Linked DNA regions of Oryctolagus cuniculus. The protein of the gene in region 3 binds, or shares a complex with, the protein of the main gene of each other region. Links are inferred from orthologs where the notes say so. Each region holds a gene or a part of one and is shown on either strand. Other genes may lie near its edges.

Region 1 (4,222 bases), on a different chromosome or scaffold from region 3:
CAGCGCTGTGGCATAGTGAGTAAAGCCACCACCTGCAGTGCTGGCATCCCATATGGGCGCCGGTTTGAGTCCCAGCTTCTCCACATCCGATCCAGTTCTCTGCTATGGGAAAGCAGCAGAAGATGGCCCAAGTCTTTGGGCCCCTGCACCTGTGTGGGAGACTCAGAAGGGCTCCTGGCTCCAGATCAGCGCAGCTCCGGCCGTTACGGCCAATTCAGGAGTGAACCAGCGGTGGAAGACCTCTCTCTCTTTCTCTACCTCTTCTTCTCTCTGTGTAACTCTTTTTTTTTTTTTTTTAATGTATTTATTTGAAAGAGTTCAACCACTAGAGAAGATGTCAAAACTACAGCTGCTTGTGGATTTGAATTGTTCCCCACCCCTTTTTCGAGGCCTGAATCAACAAAAAAGAAAAAGAACTGACTTAAGGGGCCTGTGACACTGGCATCCCATATGAGCACTGGTTCCAGTCCCAGCTGCTCCACTTCCCATCCAGCTCCCTGCTAAAGCACCTAGAAAAAGCAGTGGAAGATGGCCCAAGTGCTTGAGCCCCCGACACCCAGGGGAGACCCGGATGAAGCTCCTGGCTTTGGCCTGGCCCAGCCCAGGCTGTGGGGGCCAACTGGGGAGTGAAGCAGCAGATGGAAGATCTTTGTTTCTTCCCCCTTCTCTCTATAACTTTTTCAAACAGTATTAAAAAAATAAAATAAAAGCTAACAAAAAAGTTAAATGTTAACTATTCTAAAGTCGGAAGTCTCACATTATACCATTTTATACTACAGAAAACAAATGCTGAGCATGCTCCAGCAGTAATTTGTAAATACCAATGTGTTCACATGACAGATCTTTCTGAGGTCGTCACACTCAGGGGAGTGATGCTCCGCACCTGCCCCTCGCCTATCTGTGCACCTCGAGGCCACCTCATTTCCTGGAAGCAGCTCCCAAGAAATTGGAGAGGCAAGCGGTGAATTGCAAAGGCCACGGGAACGGGAGGTGACGGGATACACAGGCCAAAAAACCACAGGTCCGAGGGGCAGTCCACGTCCACGTTCCCAACCAGGAAGGAAAAGGCGCCGAGGACACGCGCGCTCCCACGGGTCGGCCCTCCTCCTGCCCCACGGAGGATCACAGGGTGGTGGGCAGCGAGCAACCCGGCCGACGCTTACGCAACATCCGAGTGCAAAGTAAATACAGGAAGGTCCGGCTCGCGGCGGCCTCGCGTCACGTGGCGGGGCGCGAGGGCGGCGCTAAGGGCGATGTTGACAGATGCGTCAACCAAAACAAAGCAAGGAGAGCTCCCCAAACGGGGTGGGGTGGGGGGGCCCGGGTCTGAAAACCAGCCTCGGGCCGACTCCTCCCGCCTGGCTCCCGGCTCCATCGCCCAGTGCCCGCGGCTCCTCCCTGCGCCACCAGCGGGGAGCCCCGCGCGACGGGGAGGAGCCGCGGGCCAGCGGGCGGAAGGTGGGCAGCGAGGGAAGAGCCACGTCCTCTTCTGGGCGTGGGACCTCAAGCGCACGGCGCCCGGGCGCTGCCCGGGTCTCTGGGTAGGGCCCCGGGCTGGCACCTGCACGGTCCCCTCCCCGCTAAGACGCCGCGCGCAGCACGGATTCCTGCTTGGATGCCGAGGGCGCAGGCCTGGTTAGGAACACTTAGTCGCCTGGGTCTTTTGGGGCAAAGGACGGACTGGAGGGTGACGTAGCTCAGCCAAGGTCAAACTGCTGTTTTCGGCGGCCTGGCTCGGGTGGGGGGAGCCAGGCCTGGGGAGGTGGGTTTGGGGACGTGGGGGAGGCGGAGTGAGTGACAAGCCAGCAGCCCGTCAGAAAGGCGGGGTGAAGACGGCCCAGACCCTGTGGGTGACAGCTCCCGGGCAAGGAGAGGGGCGCCCGCGGCGGGAGGGGACCTCGGCCCTGGGGGAAGTGCCCAGGAGGGGACCCGCCGTCGTGGGGGGAGCTGCCGCACGGAGGGACTCCCGGAAAGGGGGAGGCGGGGCCCCTCTTACCGGGCGCTCGGGGTAGACGCGACTCAGGTGGGCCTTGAGGTGGCCGACGCTCCAGCTGCGGTCTCCGCTCAGCTCCAAGTCGCGGTGGCGCTGGTTGGGGCTCTTCACCAGCAGCGTGACGGGCTCGGGCTCCGGCTCGGGCTCCATGGCGGCGGAGCTGTAGGCTCGGCGGCGCTCCCAGATGCCAGGTAGGCGGCGGCGCACCGGCAAGATCCGCAACGACTGTTCAACTCTCTGGGCCGCGCGCCCCCGCCTCAGGCGCCTTTTATAGGCGGCCCGCGCCCGGGCTCTGCGGACAGACTCTTCTGTGGCTGTCGCCCATTGGCTGAGACGGGGGTCACTGCCCAACGTGGCCCAATCGGCGTCCGGATCCGGGGGGCAGCGGGGCGGGCCAAACCCGCGGGCACGGCTGATGCAACCAGCGGCCATTGCGTCACCCGGAGTCGCGGCTGCAGCCCTGGAGCCTGGGTTCGGCGGCCATGTTGGGGTGCGCTGCGCCCGGATGGAGGCTCGGCCCTGAGGAGACAAGGGGCTCCCCAGCTCGGGCTGCTTAAGGTCCCTGAGGACTGGAGTGAGGCGGGGGCAGCACAAGCCTGGCCAACTCCCAGTTTGGCAGTGTCTGCAAATTGTTTCCTCATAAAGCAACACCCCCGCCCTTTTCACCCCCAAGCACCAAGTCCCACTTCCCCTTTCCCTTCTCCTGGGGGCCCCCAGCAGCCTGTGCTGCGGGGGCCTGGGCCCACAGAACTGCTGATGAACCCGTTTCGGAGAACACCTGGCTGCCCAGGAGAAACAGAGCCCACGCTTCCTTGGGTTGAGAACATGGGGGCATCCGGGCATCTTGCAAATTTGCCTCTGGCCCTGAACTTGCCTGTTCCACCCGTGAAGACCATTGCCCTTATTGTGACAGCTGACACTGGGAGAAGAGTCGCTTTATGGGATACTCAGCACATGTTTTACATTGGGGCTGAGAGGGGAACAGGTTCCTAGAACGTGACCACAGAGGCCTCCCGTTTGTCTGTGGAGGAGGAAAAAATTCTTGGAAAACAAGACTGATATTGCCGTGGCCCTATCCCTGCCCCAGTCCTATTGGGATTTCTGTTTTTCCAGATGTGTAGGAGCCTGCAGGGCTGGAGAGTAGTGGGAAGAGCCTTCAGCTGGGGGGTAGGGGACATATTGGCCAGCTGGGGCTGCTCCAACAAAGTACTACAAAATGGGTGGCCTACACGACGGCGATTTTTTGTCTCCCAGTTCTGGGAGCTGCAAACTTGAAATCGAGGTGGTAGGCAGTGTCGGAACCTTCTTTCTTTCTTTTTTTTCTTTTTTTTGGACAGGCAGAGTGGACAGTGAGAGAGGGAGAGAGAAAGAGAAAGGTCTTCCTGTACTGTTGGTTCACCCTCCAATGGCGCACTGCGCTGATCCGAAGCCAGGAGCCAGGTGCTTCCTCCTGGTCTCCCATGGGGTGCAGGGCCCAAGCACTTGGGCCACCCTCCACTGCCCTCTCGGGCCACAGCAGAGAGCTGGCCTGGAAGAGGAGCAACTGGGACAGAATCCGATGCCCCTACTGGGACTAGAACCCGGGGTGCCAGCACCGCAGGCGGAGGATTAGCCTATTGAGCCGAGGCGCCGGCCCGGAGCCTTCTGATGTCTGAGAGAACCTGCTCCGGGCTGCTCTCCAGCCTCTGGAGTTTGCTGGCTGGCAGGCCTTGGCATTCCTTGCCTGGTGGGTGCCTCGTCCCCATCGCTGGCTTCCTGTTTGTTCACATCGGATCCTCCTGTGTTGTGTGTGTGCGTTTCATGCCCTCTTCCCTCACTGTGTGTCTGTTCAAATTTCCCCTTTTCATGAGGACACCAGTCACCACTCTGGTGACGTCATCTTAATTTGATCATCAACAGAGACCCTATTTCCAGCGCATAGGCACTGGGGGTCAGAATGTCAGCACTGTTTTGGAGGAAATGGTTTGTCCCCTATCTGTGGGCCTCTGCCCTTGCGTAGGAGACCTGGATGGTGTTCCTGGCTGCTGGCTTCTGCCCGGCGCAGCCCTGGGCATTGCAGCCATTTATGGAGTGAACCAGCTCTGCCTCTGTGTCCTCCCTCCCACTCCTTCTCCCCTCTCCCTCTCTAGCTCTGCTCTTAAGATGAGTAAAATAGATCTTTACAAAAATTATTATTATTTTTAAGCATCTATTTATTTGTTTGAAAGTCAGAATTAAAGAGAGAGAGAG
Region 2 (3,532 bases), about 62 Mb from region 3:
GGACATTGACCCATTCGTTAGTATCATTAGCATATCCCAGATGCATCAGCTTCCTAGACATTATTTTGGGAGGGCAAATTGCTGTCCCAGGGTCCGGACCACACAAGCAAAATTATTATGTTTTACTTTCCTTCTTGATAAAAACACATGCCCTCACTATACTTTGCAGCCAGCAAAAAGAGGTAAGCCATAAGTGTTCCAAATAGCCAAGAATTCTTACCGTGAGGAGAATAATGCTAGGCGGTTTCATGGGATACTCTGGTGGCAGTACTATTCGTCCATGATAAACTCCTCCGTCAAAATCAGAATCTGGAGGCCCTCTGACTGTGAAGTGCCATTCAAACAGGTTATCCTGAACCAAAACAACAGGCCACAAGGAATCAGTAACATTAAAAAGCTGCACCATTTTTATCAATATGAATATTAGAAATATTGGGTAAGAAAAATTTAATGTTTTGTTATTGATGGACAGTTTCTAATATACAAAATGTCTCAAGGATGAAAGTTATAAATAAATAAAAACTGAAAATAAAAGCTACTTAATCTAGTTTTCATGTGCCGTAAGAGCTAATAACTTTCTCAAGCAAATACATAAAAAAATTTCCAAGGGGCAGGCATTTGGCACAGTGGTTAATATGCCACTTGGGACGCTTGCACCCCATGTCCAAGTACCTGGGTTCAAGTTTCAGCTGCACTTCTGACTCCAGCTTCCTGCTAATGTGTACCCTCAAAGGCAGTGGTAATGACTCAAATAGTTGAGTCCCTCCCATTCACAAGAGAGACCTGGAATGAGTTCCAGGTTCCTGGCTTCGGCCTGGCCTAGCACCATCTGTTGTGCATTTGGGAAGTAAACTAGTGGATGGAAGAGCTCTGTCTATCCCTTTCTATCTCTGCTATTCAAATTAAAAAGCTGAGTATTGTTACATATTCACAAATCAGATTGATTTAATTAACTGGAAATAAGTCCTTGAAAGAATACCAATTATCATACAATGAAATGATAACCATAAATTTGGATTAAGTAAGCCTTTAAACAGTATCTTTTAAAAAGGCTTATGAGCTTATTTATAAATGGTCAGTAACATTAGCACATTTGCTATTAATGTCAGCTTATAGTTACCAAGCACTTTTCAGTTGCAAAATACTTGTACATAACACTCTTACATTATTTTCTAACTATAACTATAACTATAACTATAAAACCAGCTTTAACTGTTCTCCTTTTATAAATGAGAAGACTGAAAAAAGGTAGAGACATTTGTACAAAAAGCCCAGGGTGGCTACAGAGACCCGTCATGGGACTGAAGTTTCCAAGTTCCACACCCACCACCACGCCCCCCACCAGCTCATACTCAAGACCTAACACCAACTTAGCATCTGAGACCCACTTGTCAAGAGACCAGAATCTGCTCCTTCTAAAATGAATGACTAATAAAATACTCATGAACCACAGGGAATAAACTTTATCAGTAAACTATGTTAAACACATCTGTAATGGCTCAAAGCAATGAAAAAGCAATTTTTAAGAGTTTGTTTTAAATATTAAAGTCTTAAAAATTTGTATGAAAAGTATGGAGATAGAAACTAACCTCTAAAGGCTGCGCATGGTAATGATCTGTTGGATCTTTTAATTCCGCTGCTTCTTTCATTAATCGTTTAACAGCTAAAATAAAATTCATAAAATAGAGACATTTAAAATACACTTTTCTGAGCAATTAAGTACGAGAAACTAACAAGCCTAGAGAAAAAGCTGCTACAAAGGAGAATATGTAGTTCATATACATACTGAGCATATAGCACAGGTTCAACCGGGGCTAATATAATAACAAGTGGTAGCTGGGCACTAAAAGATGGCATCCTTTAGAGAGTTATATACTAATTTAGGTATATAAGGAAGATACCACTTCAATAAGTACTCATATCTGCTTCCTATGTGGTGGCATTTATCTAAGTGCCATATTAATTCAGTCCTCAAAACATTACTAGATAGGTGCTATTGATCCCCACTTTCCATATCAGGAAACTTAGACATGGAGAATGCAAGTAGTGTGAGTCTATCTTATTAAAATGTCTGTATCAATAAAATGGATTTCATGCTCCAATCTATGATGAAGCTTGATGGGAGAATGGTGAAATCAGTGATGCTTTTAAAAAATGTAGGGGGCCAATGTCCCCAAAGAAATCAGCAGTTTACAAATGGATGACTTGTTTTAAGGAGGAACAAGATGGAGCTGAAGATGACACCCACAGCAGCAGATCATTCACATGAATTTGCAAGCGAAAACCGCTTGCTCATGCCCTAAAGGACTGATGATTAACAGCAGAAATACAGCCACTGCCACTGACATCCCTACTGGTTCAGCTTACACAATTCTGACTGAAACATTAAAGGTGAACAACTTCCTGCTTGATGGGCACCAAAACTGTTGCACCCAGATCAGCTACAGACAAGGGCAGAGCTGTCAATGGACATTTTTAACAAGTGGGATCAAGATCCTGAAGCATTTCTCCCAAGAATTGTTTACAGGAGATGAAACATGACTTTCTCAGTATTTTCCTGAAGGCAAGGCACAATCAAAGCAATGGCTACCAAGAGCTAGATGTGGTCCAATCAAAATAAAAGCACACAAGTCAAAAGTAAAGGTCACGCCACAGTATTTCAGGATGCTCATGGCATTTTGGTTGTTGACTTTTTCTGAAGGGACAAGAATGATAACATTTACTTTTTATAAAGAATTTTAATGGGAAATCACTAGGTATCCTGTTACAGTCCTGATTTCACGCCTCCTGATTCTTCCTGTTTCCTAATCTTAAGAAAATCTTTAGGGGCTGACACTGTGGCACAACAAGTAAAGCCACAGTTTGTGATGCCAGCATCCCATATCAGAGTTAATTTAAGTCCTGGCTACTCCACTTCTAGTCCATCTCCCTGCTAATGGAGATTTTCCACTGGGAAAGCAGTGGAAGGTGGCCCAAGTACTTGGGCCCCTGCCACCCATGTGGGAGATCTGGATGGAGTTCCAGGCTCCTGGCTTTGGCCTGGCTCAGTCCTGGCTATTGCAGCCATTTGGGGAGTGAACCAGCAAATGGAAGATCTCTCTGTCTCTCTCCCCCTGCCTTTCTCTCTGTTGCTCTGCCTTTCGAACAGACAAATACAACTTTTAAAACAATATTTAAAGGGCACCTATTTTTCTTCAGTTAATAATATAAAACAGACTGCACTGACACGGTTAAATTCTCAGAACTTCCAGTTCTTTGGGGCTGGACAAAATAGCTAGTGTTATCACTTACAAAAGTGTCTTGAACTTGATGAAGCTTATGTTGAGAAATAACATTTGTATTTTTACGTTTTAATTCTTTTCACAAATTTTTGAAGTCCCCTCATATAAGCATCACACACTCATATATATAATTAGAGCGATTTGGTATGTATCAGGACTCTGGGCATACAATTTAATTTTAATCAAGCATTCTTAGTCTTAAAAATAAGTTTCTAAGATTCTATCCTATCTCATAAATACTAATATTCTTT
Region 3 (4,321 bases):
GCTTTCCCAGGCCACAGAATAGAGCTGGATTGGAAGTGGAACAGCTGGGACTTGAACCAGAGCCCCTATGGGAAGCCAGCACTGCAGGCAGCAGCTTTACCTGCCAAGCCACAGCGCTGGCCCCACGATCTTATTTTAAAGGCAGAGTTTAGAGAAAAAGTGTGAGATCTTCCATCTGCTGGTTCGCTCCCCAAATAGCTACAACAGCCTGAAGCCAGGAGCCAGGAGGTTCTTCTAGGTTTCCCACAAGGGTGCTGGCACCCCCAGGTGCATCAGCAAGGAGCTGGATGGGAAGTGGAGCAGTTAGGCCTTGAACCTGGGCCTTAAGGGATGCAGGCATCACAGGTGGTGGCTTCACCTGCTAAGCCACAACGCCAGCCCAATACTCAGTCTTAATAGTTTTTCAAGTGTTGTGTCCAAGTCTCTATCCAGCTCATTAGCTTCTTAGACGTTAAGCCTTTTAGATGCCCCTGAGCAGTCAAAAATTATTCTGGGCATCATCAGTAAATACTCCATGGGCTCTTGGCCCCTGTTGGCCCTGATTCTGGCCAAAGTTATACTACTACGACTGAGGGAACTAATCCAGTTAAGGACATGGGAAAGCATATTAAAATACTAGTCTGTGGGAACAGCGCTGTGGCGTAGCAGGTAAAGCCACTGCCTGCAGTGCCAGCATCCCATATGGGCTCGGGTTCGAGACCTGGCTGCTCCATTTCCCATCCAACTCTCTGCTATGGCCTGGGAAACAGAAGATGGCCCAAGCCCTTGGGCCCCTGCACCCACGTGGGAGACACGAAAGAAGCTGCTGGGTCCTGGCTTCGGATTGGTGCAGCTCTGGCCATTGCAGCCAGGTGGGAAGTGGACCATCGGATGAAAGACCTCTCTCTCTCTGCCTCTCCTTCTCTGTAACTGATTTTCAATAAATAAATCTTTTTTAAAAGGCTCCCAAACCCTGGATATAATCAGGGGTTCTTTCCCCAACAGGAAAACAGGCTTAAGGAAAGGTTCCGCTCTGCGGCAGCGGGAAAGTTTTTATGGACACAGGCTCGCTAGCTCCAGCATCAGGACCAAGACCAGCTTCTAAATCAGCAATCTCTCTTCCCGTCGCATCCCAAAACAAGTCCCAGTTCAGTTTGGCTGTCGATGTGTTTCTCCCAAGTGCACAGACATTCTCGAGCACAAATGGCGAACCACGCTCTCGGCTCGGCGAGGGCAATGGCGGCGCTGGCCCCGGGCCCGTCCCGGAAATCCCCCTCCATCCAGCCGAAGTTTCTCACGGGACATCCGGCGCCAACCCCCCGGGATTCTCTAGAGAGGCCTCAGGCCTTAGACATCACTCGATTAACCATAAAGAGGCGTGGGGAGCCGGACTGCCGACGGGACAGGAACCCAAAAACCCCACACCAGACACAACAGCCCAACCTCCCGGCCTCCGGCGGCCCCGCGCAGCGATCAGCGACGCCCCCCGAGGGGCGGGGTTTCCGCTTCCGGTGGCGGATTGTTGACGCCTGCGGCTGCTGCGGTGGCGAAAGGGCCGTTGGGGAGGGGCCTCTGAGGGGAGGGAGACGGCGCAGTGACAGGTACCGCGAAGGGTGCTGCCGAGGCGACGATGGCAGAAGGGCCCGAGGAAGCCCGAGGTCGCCCTCCCGGGCAGGACGATGGCGGAGGGGACCACGCGCCTGTCCCTTCCCTGAGAGGCCCTCCCGCAGCCGCCGGCCCTTGTCCCCGAGACGCGGCGCCAGTCGAACCCCAGGCCCCGGGCCGGCCGCCAGCCCCGGCCCTCGCGCCCGCCTCCGCCGCTGCCCCGGAGGAGTCGGAGCCGCAGCGGGAGCTCAGGAGGCGAAGAGAGGCGGCCCCGAGCTCCGGCGCGGGGCTGCAGGAGCCGGCGGGCTGCGAGGCGGCCGAGGCCGAGGCGCTGCGGGAGAAGCCGGCGCGGCTGAGCGCCCGCGAGTACTCGCGGCAGGTGCACGAGTGGCTGTGGCAGTCCTACTGCGGCTACCTCACCTGGCACAGCGGCCTGGCCGCCTTCCCCGCCTACTGCAGCCCCCCGCCGCCCGCTCCCAGCTACGCTACGGCCGCCGCCGCCCCCCAGGCCGCGGCGCCGCCGCCCCCGCAGCTGGCCTATTACAACCCCTTTTACTTCCCGAGCGCCGGCGCCGCGGGAGCGGAGGCGGGGGCGGCTGCGGGCATCAGCACCCCGGCCCCGGTGGCGGGCCTGGGGCCGCGGGCTCCTCACGTGCAGGGCTCGGTCCGGGCCGCTCCAGCGACTCGTGCGGGATCCGCCGCGCCTTCGCGCGCCGCCAGCGAGAGCGGGCGGCAGGCAGGTGAGCAGCGCGAGGCGCGGGGGGTATCCCGAGGGGGTCTTCGGGGAGGCTGCCTGCAGGGTTTGCGCCCCCGTGGGGACGGCCGCGGCTCCCGGGAGTGTGCCCGGGCCTTACACCCCAGTGCCGTCCACCTTGAGAGCAGATCGAGGGCCTCGCGCCCGGGTCGATTCCCACGGGGAGGAATCTGCCCTGGAGAGCGAGGTGGAGAGTTAGACCCACTTGTGCAGAGACTTGACTGGCAATGCTGGAGTGCGCTGCCTAGGGGCTGTGGGCCTGACCGATCCGGAGGATTTACATGAATGCAAATGGAGTTCCCAAGTGTTGGCTGGCCCCTGCTTACTGCTTTCGGAGCCTCCTTGTTAACTTCTGCTTGGGAACTAGAAATGGCTTTAGTTAGCTACGCTTGTTAGAGTTTGTATTCAGCCACCGATATGTGGACCGAGAACCAGTTGGTGCCTGTATATGAGCCTGAATCAGAATTGAGGATGACAGGTTGATGACCCGCGGATTTATTTTCTAGAAAGTAAAACAATGACTGAGGGGAGGGAAATGTGAGATACCGGGATTTACTCTACACAGTATTTATTTATGCTGTACTTTATACCGTGGGTGTTTATACTATAGTTTACTCGAGTTTTACCTTTTTCTCTTAAAGTTTAATTGAGTGTCGCCTAGGTGTGATCACCTGGATTCTCCTAATTTGAGTCCTGCTGAAATGTTTTGGGTACTTGAATCAAACACAGCTGTGAAATCAATCTTTGAACATTAGAGTGATGAAAATAAATTTTAAGCAGTTTATTAAACACAGTGCAGTGGTATCGCTGTATTTTAGTAATACATACTCTTGTTGGGATCAGTATGACTAACTGATGCAAGGTTGTGAATATTCATAATTACTAGGTTGTACCTTGACTTTGCTTTCTCCATTCTTACTTGCCTTGTGCACTAAAGCCTTTGTGAAATGATCATTTTTTCATAATTTTCTTTTTTTTAACTTACAGGCAGGGAGTATGTTATTCCATCCTTGGCCCACAGATTTATGGCGGAGATGGTGGATTTCTTTATTCTGTTCTTTATAAAAGCAACCATTGTCTTAAGCATTATGCACCTCAGTGGAATAAAGTAAGTTAAGCACCTTTGTAGAAGAGTTTGAATTTCTACTGTTTAGAAATTATTGAGTTCTCTTCATGCCTGCAAGTGACTATAAGGATAATGTCATGATTTCTTTCTAAAAGCTCTGTCGGATTTATTTCCTACTGGACCTAAGAAATAACTACAAAGGAGAAAAAAACTCCTCATACATTCTGTAAGATCTGTGAGAATTTCACCCATCAAAAGTAGGTAAAATGATCCTCCAATCCTGGTTTGTTTTCATTCAACTATTCTTGGGCCAGGAAGCAATTTCTCTCTTATTATTCTGTAGAGAGAGTCTCTAACGACAGAAATATAAAGAGCTTTTGGTGGGTGAACTCCTAATTATCAACTAGATGTATTTCCAAATGGCATTGCTTACCATGAGCCCAGTCCCAAGAGAACTGCAAAGTGAGACATTTATTTGAATAACCCTCTCCTGAGATTAAAATAATCATAACAGCAGTTCTCATTTGCTAAGCACTTTCTGTATGCTAGGCACTTAGCTCGCGTCTTTATATGGCGTCTTATTTCATCTTAGTACCACTATGAGGTAGAGGCTAATACCTCCATTTTATAGAGATTGAAATTTGAGTATATGAGAACCTAGGCCCAGAATTTTAAAGGTTACAGAAGTACTAAGTGACCATGTCAAGATACAAACATGTGGTCAATTTTTTTTTTTAGATTTTTTTATTTATTTGAATGATAGAATTACAGAGAGGAGAGAGAGAGAGGAAGGTCTTCCATCAGCTGGTTCACTCCACAAATGGCCACAGTGGCTGGAGCTGTGCCAATCCGAAGCCAGGAGCCAGGAGTGTCTTCTGGGTCTCCCATGTGGGTGCAGGGGCACAAGCACTTGGGCC

What was found.
Region 1: FAM8A1 (region 3) and HERPUD1 share a complex: the UniProt entries of both Homo sapiens proteins name them as parts of the HRD1 complex. The link is inferred for Oryctolagus cuniculus from reciprocal best matches to the Homo sapiens genes FAM8A1 and HERPUD1.
Region 2: FAM8A1 (region 3) and UBE2J1 share a complex: the UniProt entries of both Homo sapiens proteins name them as parts of the HRD1 complex. The link is inferred for Oryctolagus cuniculus from reciprocal best matches to the Homo sapiens genes FAM8A1 and UBE2J1.

What each region holds. Positions count from the first base shown.
Region 1 is NC_091449.1:40,584,882-40,589,103, reverse strand, and holds the start of HERPUD1 (homocysteine-responsive endoplasmic reticulum-resident ubiquitin-like domain member 1 protein), read right to left. Parts: upstream 2,825-4,222; 5' UTR 2,426-2,824; coding exon 1,997-2,425; intron 1-1,996. UniProt on the Homo sapiens protein: Component of the endoplasmic reticulum quality control (ERQC) system also called ER-associated degradation (ERAD) involved in ubiquitin-dependent degradation of misfolded endoplasmic reticulum proteins.
Region 2 is NC_091436.1:83,178,008-83,181,539, reverse strand, and holds part of UBE2J1 (ubiquitin-conjugating enzyme E2 J1), read right to left. Parts: intron 1,664-3,532; coding exon 1,590-1,663; intron 353-1,589; coding exon 221-352; intron 1-220. UniProt on the Homo sapiens protein: Catalyzes the covalent attachment of ubiquitin to other proteins. Functions in the selective degradation of misfolded membrane proteins from the endoplasmic reticulum (ERAD) and is essential for cells to recover from ER stress.
Region 3 is NC_091436.1:144,840,694-144,845,014, forward strand, and holds the start of FAM8A1 (protein FAM8A1), read left to right. Parts: upstream 1-1,491; 5' UTR 1,492-1,609; coding exon 1,610-2,324; intron 2,325-3,325; coding exon 3,326-3,446; intron 3,447-4,321. UniProt on the Homo sapiens protein: Plays a role in the assembly of the HRD1 complex, a complex involved in the ubiquitin-proteasome-dependent process of ER-associated degradation (ERAD).